Oreochromis niloticus: one gene and its partner. The protein of the gene in region 1 binds, or shares a complex with, the protein of each later gene. Links are inferred from orthologs where the notes say so. Each region holds a gene or a part of one and is shown on either strand. Other genes may lie near its edges. The genes, in order: pex14 and pex5.

Region 1 (7,594 bases):
CAGACTACAAAAAAAGAAGGATAAACAAAGAACAACAAAGATGTGCAGTCAAAGTTTTATGCTATGCATGATTAAAGAAACTGTGGAACCCATTGCTGCTGTTAAAATAGACCATTTTCCTCTCTAAAGACCAAGAACATAAAGTATACTCTCATTACAGCTTGGGGACATCATTGTGATGTATAAAGTGACTGTCTGCTAATTGGAAGCCTTTAATACTGGATCTCCCTGGGGAATGTGTAATACAGCCAAATAAAAGTCTTTAAATTATCAGATCTTAGGGGGGGGGAGAGAAAAACCATCATAATCTTCCTCAACTATGCATCACCAGATCAAGCCAAGAAATTAGAAGATTTTCATTCTTTCAAAATCGCACTAATACTTGAGTTTTTGAAAAATCCACACTTCTGAGCACTAGTATTAAGAATCACAGCGTGTGCCATGTGAGAATATCTGAAATATTATTTCCAGCCATTATGATACCCTATTCATTGCTTTTTGTTTTCTTTACAGGAAATGTAATTTAATATTTGCATCGTTTGATCCAAGCTGCTATTTCTTTCCAGCTCTCACTTACATTACTTACATTAGCTTCATTTAATGTTTTTGTGGTTACAGTCAATGTTTCCTTACCAATAATTCATGTAATTCAGACTAAGGAATAAATTCTTACCAGTTCTTCTCTGGGGCTACGTGCTCCATCTTTTCCAGGCAGAAGGCCAGGCTGGGAACATAAACAAACATTTGTATTAGAGTGCCATCTAGTGGAAAACAGAAGTAATGTCAGTTTGAAGCTTGGTAACTATGGTCGCCCTTTACAAGCACACGGTATGTAACGTTGCTGGCTCTATCTATTAAAGTGATAGTATTCGGTTATTCAGGTATGGGACACTTTTACAATAATAGGCCTCACGGCTTCTTTCAGGCATATCAACAACATTTATGCAAAGTGCTTCAGCACTCTTTCGCATTTTGGCAAATTTTTGCAAACTGATCAGGCAACTCTTACACTTAAAAATAGTTTCATTTATTAGGATCCCCGTTAGATACAGACTGAACCCTGTCAGAGCCTGTGTGAAGTACAGAACACAATATTATCTGCTGCTAGATCCTGATCAAAACTGCCTGAATTTTGGGGATAATTTACTGTGACTGAAGTTACTTCTGTGGTGTCGGGTGCATAAATGTGAGCAACTCTCGTGCATTTGAAAAGCTTTTGAATGCATTGTGCTGCTGTATGATTCTGCAGGTACGTAATAAACTCAGAAGACAGAGTTCTAGAAACAGCTGCAAGCATCAAACTAACTACCTACCTAACTTCCTGTTAGCTTCTGTCAAAAGTTAACTACAGTCATAACTCAGAAGTTTTTTAACCTGTTCTCATCATGGTGAAGAGTTTAGCTTCATGCTGTACTCCATAAACATTTCCCTATGTACAGTAACAGATGGGAAACTGTAGAAATTGTGAAGAAGGGAAAATTCACAACACAAATAAGTTGATTGTGGAAGGGTATCCATTTCACTGTGACGTTTATGGAGCAGTGCTTGTAGTAAAATATGGACAGATTTTGTTCTATGGGCAGGAAAATAAATAAATAAATAAAAAAAGGCTATTTGTCATTTCCACAAGATTGGGAAAGAAAACATTAATGATATAAATGGACTGGTTCTTATATAGTGCTTTTCCATTTGAGCACTCAAAGCACTTCATTTGCCCATTCATACAAACACTTTTTTCTAGGCCTTAGCACTTTCTATGGAACATTCACACACATTCTGATGAACACATTAGAAAGCAACTTGGGTTAGGAAATTGCTTAAGGATACTTTGGCAAGCACACTTGAGCAACAGTCTGTATGCCTACAATTAGTAGATGAGCTGCTCTAACTCCTACGCTACAGTTACTGTTTAGAGAATTTTAAAAACAATAAAAATGTATTTAAAGTGTTTATTGTAACTAAGCAACTCACACAGATGAAGGGGAAACAGAAAAACTATTGTAGACTTGAACAGGCCCATGCCTGTAATGTGAAAATGCTTCCAGCCTTATGTCACGTTGAAACTTTTATTAAAAGTGTCATTGCTACTTATATAAAAAGTAACGTCCAAACATGAAACCAGCAAATTCAAGTGGAGTCAGATAAATATTTTAGAATATATTTGAAAGCCTACCAACTTACATAACTAGACTATAGTTATAGCTTAACAGATTCTTTTACTTCCAGAAATAATTTGCCCACACTGAGAAATTTGACCTGTCTGCTACGTGAATGGCATTTTCAAAAAAGAAAAAAAGTACTGAACTGGCACATGCCAGCATTCATTTGTAGATTTGTAGAAATCTGTTGCTCATAAACTGAGTGATAACTTTACAAGTACTTGTAAATACTGTCAATCCACACAAGTTCCTTGATTACAGTGTTCCTTGACTTTATTAGTTTCTGCATTTGGTAAACACTTTCTATACACTTAAAGCCGTTAGCTCTCAACTATGTACATAAAAAAAACTTTTATATTTCTCTACAGCATATATAAACATCTTTTTTTCTGAAAACAGCATCTCAGCTGTAGCAACAAAAAGTACAGAAGTCACGGGTGACATACATGAATAAAAACCTTCGGTGACATTTGTTTTCGGGGGGCTGGTGAGTTCAAAGCCAACACTGTGACTGCAACCCAACAGAAACCATCAGGTTTGTTTGCCTACACTGACCTTTGAGTTGCACCTACAGTTATCTGCACACAGTAAGACGAGGCTACACGCTCAGATGCAATTGTACAGCTGAATCGTTTGATGACAATGGCAAATCTAGTAACTATGCCCTATTATTTTCGACACAATATGGCAACTCTAAATGACGCCCCTTCCTGCCCACTTGTAAACACACTCATGTCTCAGTGACAACTTTTGACTCGTAACCTAGCTAGCATGCTAACTAGTAGGCATGCTAATCTCTAACTTTGTGAGCATTTCCAGGCACGTGATGCCAACGTTAAGACATCTAAAGCCCCGAAATATCTAAAACAGTTCACTACCGCAAATAGACATTAAAAAGAAACCGCTTTTAATGCATATAGAGACCTGTGTTGTTGCCTCAGCTTGGTCGTTGGATGCCATCTTCTTCTTCTTCTGTTCCTTCTGCCACACTTCTTATTCTGGTATATTTCTACCACGCAACATGCTTTAAGATGCACTGCTGCCTCCTGCAGGGGAGTACGGGACACTGCAGGATGAGTCTCACTCCAAAGTTTCACTCCCCATTCTTACTGTCTGTTATTGAAACGCTACAATATAAAAGCACATCAAGTTCGGTTTCAGCTTCCTCATAGCACATTCTCATGCTCACACACCTTCAGTAGATCTTAGACTAAGACTTCTGCGTGGTCAATGTTGATGACTGTCTTTCTTTCACTGCCAAGAAAACTTATTTTTTGTAAATTGTTTTTATTTGTTTTGTCTGTTTGTTTTGTTTTTGTCATAGTAGAGCCTATTCTACCTTTAGACTTAATGTCAGCTTCATCATTTCCTCAGCTGAACCCACCCTTGCGCCTAAAGAACAAGAAAAAAAATCTATACAACAAAGCCAACAGCTTAGTCACGAGGTGTGGTAAGTCCCTACTTGTTGAAACGGATTTGCATTCAGCCACCAGATAATAGCTTAATATGGCTTTGCCCGGGGCCCCTTCAGAAATCACAATACTTAATGAATTCACAGCAAGAAGATACTACTTATTTACTCTATTTCATAAATAAGAAAAACAAATAAATAAAACTATAAAGTCATTTGCTACAGCAACCCCCTAAAAGTCAGACCCCAAAATGCTAGACTTACAGCATTAAAAGGGATTGTTTCAGGTGACATTGTGATGTAAGTGGTGCATTTTTGGACCATATAATGCAGTCTTCTTTTTCTCTCTTTAGGGGTTGCCACAGGAGATCATCTGCCTCCATTTCATCCCATCCTTAGCATCATTTCTGTCACACAACCCTCTGCATGTCCTCTTTCACTACATCCAAGAACCTCCTCTCCGATTCTCTTCTTTTCCTCTTGCCTGGCAGCTCCACATTCAACATCCTTAGTCCAGTATATCCACTTCCTCTCGTTTGCACAATGTTCAAACCATCTCAGCCTTGCCTCTCTAACTTTGTCTTCAAACTGCTCAACTTGAGCTGTCCCTATCATGTACTCATTTCTAACTTCTAGTTTCTGATTTTTAATTTCTGGTCACTCCTAATGAAAATCTTAACATCTTCAATTTTGCTACCTTCAGCTCCGCCTCCTTTGTGTGTGTGTGTGTGTGTGTGTCAGTGCCACAGTCTCCAAAGCATACAGGTCTCAGTGCCATTTTATAAACCTTTACTTTCACCGCTGTTGCTATCCAACTGTTACAAATCACCCCTGATAATCATCTCCACCCGCTCCACTCTGCCTGCACTCTCTGATTTGGATGGCTGAACCTAGGTATTTAAACTATTTAAACCCACCCCCTTTTCAGTATCTGTACTCTTGGTGGTTTCACTGTTACACAAACACACATTCTGTCTTGATTCTACTGACTTTCATTCCCCTTGTCTCCAGACCATACCTCCACCTCTCCAGGCTCTCTTCCACCTGCTCCCTAGCTATTTATTTTCACCACGCAATTAACCAACCAAATGTCTTTAAGAAAGAAAAAAAAGAAAGAAAGAACTGGACTCCACTGTCAGGCCAGACTTTTTGGTCGCCATCTAGCGGTCACTTGCGGTAGTCCACCTTTAAAACAGGAGCTCCTCTGAAGGACATGCTATTATTCTCATATTTCTTATGCCTAGAGCTTGGAAATAGTTAATACAAGATTTTTTTTTTTTTAAAAATACACTCAAATTAGCGCTATAGAGGTTATAGCGTTATATTCAAACTGTAAACACAAACGCAGTTCTTTCTCCCGCGTTTTCCTGTTCGAATTGTTTTTTTGTATGTGCTAAACTACATATCCCAGATTCCATAGCGGCGCGGCGGCAGTTCCGTATTCGAGGATAGTGGTGGTAGTTGCTGTCGGTAATTGTCAGTATTAAGGTAAAAGAAAGCACAAAATCTGCTTCTCTAAACGCAGACGAGAATGACGGATAAACCGTGTAAGGTGTGTAATTTCACACGACAAAAATCGTATGGGGTAGTAGCTCCTTCCATAGATGAGCTTAAGGAAAAAGGTAAGTTGTCATGACTTTACATTCCTGAACTTTATCATGCTAGAGCTTCTCTTTAATGAAAGCTATATATTCATTAATATTGAACGGGTGTGTGACAGTGACGTGAAGTACCGTCTCACGCAGTCAAAGGTTGTGGGTGCTGTATTTAAATGTCATTTTAGTTTGCACTGGTGCTGAGCGCTAAAAGCGGGGTTCTCTTATTGCGAAAGTGAAAGAACTTCATATGTTCAGTGATTTTTGAGAGTGTTGGGAGGCACCAACATTACAGCTGAGGTGATTATTGCTATTGCTGTCGATAAGCTTACTTATCTAGTTGTGTGTGGTAGCAGCAGCAGAAGCAGCATCTCCATTTTTATCCATCGTGTTTAAACTTGCAGAAGCTAAACATGAAAAGTCATTGCTCTTCCTGCTCATTCCTAGAAGGCTAGTCACCAGGCGTTGCCCCCAGATTTTTTTTTGCATTTTTCTCTGTTTAATAAAAGTGTTTCTACATCTTTGATTGTTATATGTGTCAGCAGAGCTTGGAGGAGACAAGGCTGGGTCCTTGATTTTGAAGCCGCCTACATGAAGATACTAGAAGTGTGTTTCTGATTCTGATAAAGTCTCCTGTAACTGCCAGTGACAAAACTAGGGTGCTATCTGAAAACCCCCCTCTTGGTTTTGAAGCTAGCTTAAAGTTATCAATTGCCTTTATTCCTATTCAATATACATAAATAAATACTCGTATATGAAATATTGAGCTGGGGCACTATTAAACTAGAGGTGCTGATTTATAGCTGTTAGAAAACATGTACAATTTTAAAAGCCAGTGGAAGTAAGACATGTTTTGTATTGCAAATAGGAGCAGCTCTAAAGAAAGGGCTGTTGACTCTTTAAATGGACTGACTTGTTTGACATGTGGAAGTATGCTGAATCACCTGATGAACAGGTGGTGTCTGAGGTATTACTGCTTTGAATATTTGACTTATGGGATACACTAATACTGATTGTTTTCCTCTGAAATATGGGCGGCACTGTCGCCTCACAGAGAGAAAGATCTGTGTTGGATTTGCTGGTTCCCCCGCCACAGTCCAAAGACACGCATGTGAGGTTAATTTGTTATGCTAAACTGGACTTGCGGCGCATCTTTCCACAACAGTCAGCTGGGATATTGAATCGGATGGATGGATAAACACTTTGAAGTATAAAAATAATCTGGGACACTCTATAATATTTGTAGTTTCTCTGTTCTTTTAACAGGTCGACAGTGTCTTGGGTTCAACTCCAGTGACTCAGTCACAGTGGTCCTAGAGAATGATGGGACAGTAGTAGAAGATCAGGCTTACTTTTTGTGTTTACCCTCAAACACAAAATTCATGCTACTGAATGACAAAGAGACGTGGTCTCCACCTTGCAGGAGTAAGCAGGTTTACTTTTGTCTGACATTTTTCTGCATCCTTTTTATCATCAATCATTTATATCCTGGGAATGCATCACCTTCTGTTAATTTGATATTTACTTTTAGTTGATGGTGGCACAGCTTGGATGGCTAGGGATTCTGTGTTGCTGGAGACTGATACTGTGGACAGCTCCAGTACTGTAGCACCTTGGTATGAACTGGCTCAGCAGCTGAAGCAGGACCTGACTAGCATTATTCTCATGTCTGAGGCGGACCTACAGGTACCAACATTATATGTCAAGTATAAGAAAGTGATAAACACTCTTTCTTTGTCACTATTTTTAATCACATAAATAATAGGTCGGGCTAATGGGATGTTCTTTTTGCTGTCGACATGTGCTGTTGTCTGTGTTTAAGTGTGTTAATCAATCTAAAAATAGGAGCCGCAAATTGTATTTTATTGTTTTACTTTGCTTTTTCAGACCTTAGTGGATGCCCCATGCCCTGAACTAGCCTCTGCTCTGGGCTTCCAAGAGAAAAAGGCCCAGGAGCTCCAGGAGACGCTGCAGAGGGTTTTAGATCGAAGAGAGCAAGAGAGGCAATCCAAAGAATTGCTCCAGCTTTACCTGAAAACTGTGGAGCAGGAGAACAGACAACAGGAAGAAACAAGTCAGCCTTCTCAGGGAGGTACGGCTGTGTCATTTTAAGGTGGTTGCCATGTTTACTGTATGGAAATAGTTTGTTGAGATAAATATATGAAAATCAGATTCCCTGATTATTGTAGTGTGACACGGATACACAATATAAACTCTGTAACAAGTTAAGTCTTGCATAGAAAGCTGTTTCTGTGTCATTATTCAAGCTGGGATACAGAAACTCTGTGAACTACAGTACTGTGCAAAAGTCTGGAGCCACCCTTTATTTCTTTATATTTTGCTTCCAGTGAGCCTGACTTTTTTGTAATTCTTCTAGGTAGCCTTGAGCAACAGTTTTTCCAAGGCTGAAGCCTTGCGCTTCAGCTTTT
Region 2 (8,070 bases), on another chromosome or scaffold:
CAAATCCTAAAGCATCCAGTATGAGGTCCAATTTCTAATTAGAAGATGACAACACTTAAATATTTGAGACACCAAACAAAATATAAAATGTTTTAATTTTTAACACTCCAAATATTCAACCCTGAAAGACATTTTTCAAAATTCGGTACCAGAGAGTAAGTTTTTAGAAGTTCAAGTTCAGTTAGTCCTTCACATTGTTTTGTGTCCCTTCCATCACATCTAAAAATAATTATTCAATTTCCTGACCCCTTTAACAGCTGACAGGCCGAGTGAAATCTTCAGGCTGCTCAAATAGCCTCATGAAACACACACAAATTCAAGCTCCATCTGCTGTTTTTCATTTCATCTTCTGGCTCTTAGTGAACCATTAATAATGAGAATATGATGGCTCAGCAGGCACAGGCATCCACAGCATGTTTCACTTAACTCATCTGGTACGTTCAGAAGATTTTTGCTTTTAACAGCGTTTACCAGGATAAATAACATCAGCATCACTATACTATTACACTGACTACATATAATACTATTTTATTTAAGCAAATCTTCTAATCAGTTGAGAAATGCTTATTTTGATAAATGCTAGCACAAATACTCCGGATTTGTGTATGCATTACTGTTAAAAGCTCTTGAGCCACCCCTCATTTCTTTATATTTTGTTAGGAAAATTGAAAATACATGTACTGGCAATGATTTCTTGAAATGTGCAAACATGCATTGAACTATAGAACATAAGCTGAAAAAAAAAAAAAAAACCACCCCAACAAGATTTGTACTACTCTAATGTGCTTTAAAGTTAATATCTGGAACTTTGTTATGCAAGCTTTCTTATAATTTTATTAAGTAGTCTTCAAGAATAGTTCTCCTCTTTGGACGTTGGCTGCCTTTTGTTCTGTTCTCTGTCAAGAGGATCCCAAACTGCTTCAATCATTTTGAGGTAGATGCTCTGGGAAGGACAATCCATTACTGATAATGTCCATTTGTGTGTTTTGCTATCCAGGCAGTGAATTAAGCTGCTCTCAATCAGATGCTTTCCAAATGGCAAAATCTGATGGATTTTCTGTGTTTAAAATTCCATCAATTCTGACAAGATCCCAGCACCACTGCCTGAAAGGGAGGAAAAAAGGTTCATACTCACCATTGTACCGCACTGACGACAGTTTGAATCAAAAATTTCAATTTGGATTCATCATTCTAAGATTTGCTGCCACTGATTTTCAGTCAATTTCTTGGATAATTTGGCATACCGCAGGCTTTTCCACTGAGACCAGGTTTTTCATGGATTTTTTCCTGATTCTTAAGGACCTGACTTTGAGATATTTCCAGTCTGCTGTAAATAGTTTTTTGTTCTTTTAGGCCTGACACTTCTTTTCACCTCCACTTGTCCGGTTCGCTCAAAAGGTTTTTAAGGACATACTGCACACCATGCTGAGACATTCCAAGCACTCAGCTAACAGCTCTTTGGGAATTACTTTGTTGAAGCAAAACTACTATTGTAGATATATCAGACTGTTATCATTGGCATTTTTCAAATTAATCTAAAGAAATGATGTGTTTTGCTACAGGCTGCTAGTAAAGTACCTGATGATACAGTTTATTCTTTGCCAAGCTGCTTGTACCAGAGTCGACACAAGACTGGTGCATCGCTTGTGTTAGGTGCCTTTTATATGCTTGAATGATGGATAGTGGGTCAGTGTTAAGAGACTAAAATAAAAAAACATTCTTCTGAAATTGGTCAGGTACAAATACTGGGCTAAAAATGAATGAGAAAAAAAAAAAAAAAACAGCCAATATCTAAATAAAAACTTTGAAATACCTTCAGAAAGCCTTGAGAACTTGAGAAGTGTTCAAGACCACTTTACTATATTACAAGAATGTTTGGCTCCTCTGTGAAGCAAAATATAAAGAAATGAAGAGCAGCATGTTTGCACAATACTCCATATCAGGTCTAAAATAACAGCTATATAAACTGCAAAAGTTTCAACTGATCCTGTTTCATCTGATGATTACTCACCTAAACATTTAAAAGCAAAATAATAAACAATACTGTGACACTGTTTCACTCTGAAATGTAGTACCAGATGTATGAAACTCTGCTGCTGAACTTCAATGACCCCTATCAATTACATATGCTGACCTCCCTGGAGAGGAGGAACATAAAAATTAATTCCCTTCCTAATCTCGCATGTGAGCGTCTACCTAAAAACACTTCAGTGACTATTACACAACACCTTACAGGTGGACTGTTGTTCTTGCTGTCCAGGCTGAAGATTTAAAGGCTACTTTAGTCCCACCGCTTCAAATGGCTGCTGTATTATGATTAGGGTCAAAGTAAGAGGATCAGACAGAGATATTAATACACACATTACCAAAGACGGGCCATTATGACACCTGTTTATTGACTACAAATCCACGGAGACGATAGGAATAGGCGAAGGTTGCTTTTGTCACACATAGTCCACTAGTTATAGATATCAACTAAACACACCTGCCTGCATTGTTACCTTTCTGGGAGCACTGTGTAATAAAATAGAGCTGCTCGGGGCTAACTGCAGCTTCAGCTACAAACAGCAACATTAGCTCGATAAGCGATACTCTGTGGTATTTATATAACCAGCGTGCTGTTCATGAAACCTAAAGGGAAACCGAGGACGCTCACGACCGTCCGGAACTCAAAAAATATCAGCTGTGGCTAGCTGGCTAGCTGCAGTAGGGCCAGTGCAGAGATCACTCCCGTAGTGTGCACCCAGCGAAGAAGCATGAATAGACGGGAAGCATACTGTTCACCTCACCGCCGACAGCTGCTGCTGTATCCGAGCGACAGTCCCTCCCTCCGGCGGTATGTCCTCTCTTGTCCCGCTCTCACACCTCCGTCCGAACAAATTTTCCAGCAACCGTCCGAAACCAGTCGCTGAGTGCTATTAGCTCCCCGCTTTTATTTACCTTCCTCCCCCATGACCCACAAAACCCTTCACCGCTAGCCTGGCTCGTGCACGTTACGCCGGTTACGTATTCTTCAACTGGTTTTACGCATGCGTAAGGAAGCGTTAGTGCCTGAAAAAAAAACAGCGTAAAGAGCCTCACGTTAAAATGTAACATGCCTGAGAACAAAGTCCGCTTCTCGGATGAAACATGTATTTGTTAAAAAAAAGAAAAACACGGAAGTAACGCGCAGTGCTGTGCAGAAGTCTTCAGCCAACCACCATTTCTTTATATTTTACTTCCAAAGAGCCTGATTTCTGTCTTTGATACTTGTTTTGAGGAATAATTCTCCACGCTTTTTAGAGATTTTCACTTAAAAAAAAAAAATAATTCAGCCCTGTTCTTATACCAAACCATTTTGAGAGGAACGTTTATACGTTTTAGCCACTAAACACTGATATATGAACCATGTAAGCATAAAAACGACACCTAACAACGTTGTGTCTGCATATACAAGACAATTTAGCCAAAAAAACAAGCTGTTTTATCTTTATGTAGTTTTTTTACTCGCAGTTTATCATAAAACCACATCATTTGTTCTTATTTCTTTACTTGAATCTGAATAATGCCTAAGATAACACAATCTGACAGACATAAGTCTGTATTTTTGCAGAATCGAAAAAAGTGCTATGAGTTGAAACCTGGTATATCTCACCATGGTGTGCAGTCTGTACTTAAAAAAACAAACAAAAAAAGTAGTGTTCAGTAGATGAACAGTATCTTAAATTAATGTCCTTACAAATTAGGAAAAAAATCCAGCAAAGACTTGACACAGGACATGAGAGATCCAGCTGGCCCTTCAGTTAATCCAGCTACTGTTAGCGAAGGAAAAAGAAGGAGAAAAAACTGAAGTATGTCAAATTACACAGGAACTGAAACGAAAATCAGTAGCAACAGGTCTTTGGTTCAAATGTGAGGATATACAGAGGATGTCAGGAGAGACGTACACAGTGAGAGTCTATCTGTAAACACAGTGGCGGCTCTGTCATGGTTTAGGGCTGCGTTTTAGCCAGTGGTGTTGGGGATCTTGTCCAAATTTATGGAATTATGAACACAGAAAGGCATAGAGTACCATCTGGAAAACATCTGAATTGCAATATGTTCATTTTTCAGCACTGATCCCAAACACGTCGCCAATAGTGTAAAAGCATACCTGGATAGAAAAACATACAATGTAATGCCTAGTTATATAAAACTTTGAGCTTTACATTGTGTGTCACACTTTAAGTACATGTCAGTTTTATATGATCAGATAATTTTGAATTGTAGGACATTTAATGTAAATTTAGTGTTGCTGAACTGATCATTTTGCTTAAAAAAGGATCAGAATGTTTTCTATTTCAGTTTACTGTCATTTATTTAAGTAGAAGCAGCCACAGAGGACAGAAATCTGGTGCTGTACTGTACCAGATTTGCCAAGCTAATAAGGAAAATAATCCTCACATCACACTGTGGCAGGTTTACCACATGGTACTAACACAAACAGCCAAGTTCAGGTCTTCCACATGTTTCAAAGTGAAAACATTTTCATCTGGGTTTAATATAATTATGATAATCCTTGTCTAATCATGCTTATTACAGTTCCTGAATTCTTTTATTTTTTATTTAACACATGTTAAGCTAAAAAAGAAGGAGCAATGTGTGAAAAAAATAAGCAGACCCACTGAGTACATGGTAATTAAGAGGTTAAGTAGCAGCCGGGAGCAGCCAGTTATTCAGTTTGATTAACTGCTGATGATCAATTAATCAAGCAAAAGGCCCTTGATTGGTTGATCACCATAACATTTGATCACCTCTATAAAAGTTATGGCAGTGTGCTGGTCTGTGTGCGTTAACACAGTGTCAAGAAGGAAAGATTTTAGCAGTGATCTTAGAGAAGCAGTTGTTGTTGCCTATCGAATGATTTGCAAGTGGAAAACTCAGAAAATGATCAGATAAACTGCAAAATGCCCAAAACCTACACCTCAGACTCTGCAGGCCTCTTTTAGCATGTTGAATGTTAAAGTTCATGACAGTACAATTAGAAAAAGACAGAACAAGTATGGTTTGTTCAGGAGGGTTGCCAGGAGAAAACCTCTTTTCTCTAAAAAGAATATGGCAGCAGGGCTATTGCTTGTAAAGTCACATCTGAACAAACCACAAAGCTTTTGGAACAGTATGCTTTGGAGAGACAACACCAAAGTAGAGAACAAACACAGCATTATCAGCACAAACACCTCATGTCAACTACCAAACACAGCAGTGAAGCGGTGATGATTGGGGCTTGTTTTGCAGGCACAGGACCGGGGCACCTTTAAGTCTTTGAGCTGACCATGGACTCTTTTATATATAAAAGAGAATCCAATGTGAGGTCATGTTCTTGACAGCTAGAGCTTTTTATAAACTGAGTCACGTAACAGGACGATTGTCCAAAGAACAGCAGGGAATCTACAACACTGTGGCTAAAAAAAAGCAAAGAGTCACGGTGTTGCAATGTTCCAGTCAAAGTCCAGAGCTCAACCTGATTGAAATATATGGTGAGACCTTAAGAGAGCTGTGCATAAATGAATGCCTACAAACCTCAACTGTTTAGTTTTTGTTAAATAATGTTTGTTTTTACCTCGTTTTAAGAACTGCTAAGGACTACATTATTTTTTATGTCCTGATATAAAGCCTTAGAACTGAAAGAGGGTGTTCTTTCTTTTAACCATAACCAATGTTTTTAAATATCCTAAACATGCTCAGATTTTTAGTATTTTTGACTATAATTTCAAAGTTTTATCATATATTTGAATTTTTCATGTAAACCTTTAACTAAACTTCTGAAATTGTTATTTCTCTGAGTAGTTCTCTACTCTAGTTACCTTTTTTAAAGCATATGTCTATTTCTTTGTTAGCTGTTTTCTAGAATTGCTGCATGAATGATTTTCTATATTTTTCCAATACTAAAATCTACTAAAAGCTACTTTTGTTGTTGTTTGTTTGTTTTATGGTTATAGCTTTTGCTTTATTCTTCAGACGTCTGGATACTTCATAAGATATTCTAGTATTGACTGTTTAGTCCTTGTTATGACTTAATGGTTCTTCTGGTGTTGACTGTCAGATTTGTAGTTTTGTCTTTATTATTAGTAATATTAGTTCTAGTTCCCCGGTGTTTCTCTGCCAGGGGCGTAATTTCCAGGGGGTTGGGGGGGGTTATGACCCCCCCCCCCCCCAATAATCAGACCCAATCAATAACCCCCCCCCATAAAATTATAAATTATCTTGCATAAATAGGCTGTTGATTTTCTTTACTCAATTCAGTTATTACCAGCAAAATAGTTGCATGTTTAATCATATGGGAATTTACCAAGATTTATTTATTTATTTAGACAGAAATCTTGATTCCCCCTAATTTTCAGCACAAAGTTACTCCGATGTTCTCTGCTGTGCATACAATAGATTTTATAATCATATCATAATCTGTAATATAAGATTAAATCTTCAGGGTTAAATTTCATGTACAAAGTCATACTTACAATATTGTTATTTGCATGAAAACCCCCACTCTAACAAGAAAACCCTCTCATGGAGACGTCATATAGTGTTTTTATTATGAATTTTGCAATGTTTTCTGACAGTTCTCAATAACAATTAGTCAGCATAATCCATGTTGTCATTGTATCAATAATTACAGGTAATGTTTGAATAGTAACATAGTAATAATATAAGTTCTTAATCAATGCAATGTTTATTCCTTCTTAACATCACACTCAAAAACAACAGGCTTTTATTTACTGACAGCGTTAGCACTGCACATTGATAGGCTACACAGACAGACAGCAAGAGACACAGAGGGACAGTGAGGGAGAGGTGAAGGGAAAAGGCGGTGGGGTAGGGAAAGGTGAGGAGTAGCACACGGTTGTACATTCATTAAACCGAAAATAACGGATGTAGTGGAAATCAAATACAAAAAGAAATAATAAAGAAATATTTTGAAATGTGAAAAATAATCGGCAAGAAGTGCGCGAGATGAAATGAGTGAGACGCTTCTTGGTATCACAACAATGTGCCCTCCTTTTTCTGTGATATCGACAAGTTCTTAAATTACAACAATATTACACACAAATTAAGAGACACTCATCAAGCCAGGGATTATCATCCTTATCACTACTACTATTATTATTATTATTATTATACTATTTTTCGATGCTGTTAAGGTGATTCTCAAATGGGGAAAAGTAAATGATGATCAGCTTTCTCTCCAAATGTGCAGATAAAGAGAAAGAGTGGCTGCAATAATAATAGTAATAACAATAATATCATAATAGTCATCATCGTATGTACAGAAAATTCATTACAATCAATACAATCAAAACTGCCCAAGCTGAGCGGACATTCTGGAAACAGCACGGGTAGCGTTATGGAGTGTGTCTGCGTGTTTCTGTTTGTGTGTGTGCATGTGGCGTCTTGCAGTTACTGTAAGAGCAGTGTGCAGTGAGTCAAACAGTGCAGTCAGAGTCATTTAGAGGCATTGCAGCGGTCACTGTGTGTGTGTGGGGGCTCAGAGGTCAGGTTACACCAGCTTTATTGTACGAGGTGATGTTTTGTCATTTTGTGTCACGAGCTGAAACTTTGCGAAGACTCGATTTTGAAGTAGAAAACACACCGAGTGGCTCTCAGTCTGCCTTCTTGGAGCGCTGCAGAAGTGCCAGCTTGGGTTAAGGATGAAGTGGACGCTAAATAAGTTCCTAATAAAACGTAAAGTGCTCTCACAGAAACAAAAGCAAAACACCTGCAAGCTCATCATGAATACGTGACCCCGTGATGTCGGACCTCACTGTCTTTACTCTGTGTGTGGACTTGGCCGAGGAATGTGTCAGGAGAGGATGCAAAGAGCGAGAAAAGAGCTTGTGCAGACTTCTCGGGCTAGTCTAATGAACAGATGTGTCAGGATCGAGGCTTGTGTCTACAGATCTACTCGAGGCCTACATGTTGCAACAAATTGTCCCTGTTTACATTTTGTAAAGATCTCATTCTGTGTTCGATAACAAAAGATAGAATACAATCTTATTATTACTTTTTTCTTTTTTTTTAAACAAAACAGTCTCATTCAACCAGTATTACACTATA

What was found.
Region 2: the proteins of pex14 (region 1) and pex5 are in contact, whole or in part, in an NMR structure (PDB 4BXU), measured with the Homo sapiens proteins. The link is inferred for Oreochromis niloticus from reciprocal best matches to the Homo sapiens genes PEX14 and PEX5. Residues at the interface, in NP_004556.1 of Homo sapiens: Thr31, Phe35, Asn38, Arg40, Val41, Ser44, Pro45, Thr48, Arg49, Phe52, Lys55, Lys56; in NP_001124497.1 of Homo sapiens: Glu59, Leu62, Val63, Glu65, Phe66, Leu67, Gln70.

Annotation. Positions count from the first base shown.
Region 1 is NC_031984.2:22,474,205-22,481,798, forward strand, and holds the start of pex14 (peroxisomal membrane protein PEX14), read right to left. Parts: upstream 3,225-7,594; 5' UTR 3,120-3,224; coding exon 3,084-3,119; intron 725-3,083; coding exon 674-724; intron 1-673. Other genes in the region: dffa (DNA fragmentation factor subunit alpha), read left to right, coding at 5,102-5,192, 6,432-6,590, 6,697-6,851, 7,053-7,257. UniProt on the Homo sapiens protein: Component of the PEX13-PEX14 docking complex, a translocon channel that specifically mediates the import of peroxisomal cargo proteins bound to PEX5 receptor.
Region 2 is NC_031976.2:23,445,803-23,453,872, reverse strand, and holds the start of pex5 (peroxisomal biogenesis factor 5), read right to left. Parts: upstream 3,021-8,070; 5' UTR 2,790-3,020; exon of another isoform or gene 2,785-2,789; intron 1,836-2,784; exon of another isoform or gene 1,814-1,835; intron 1-1,813.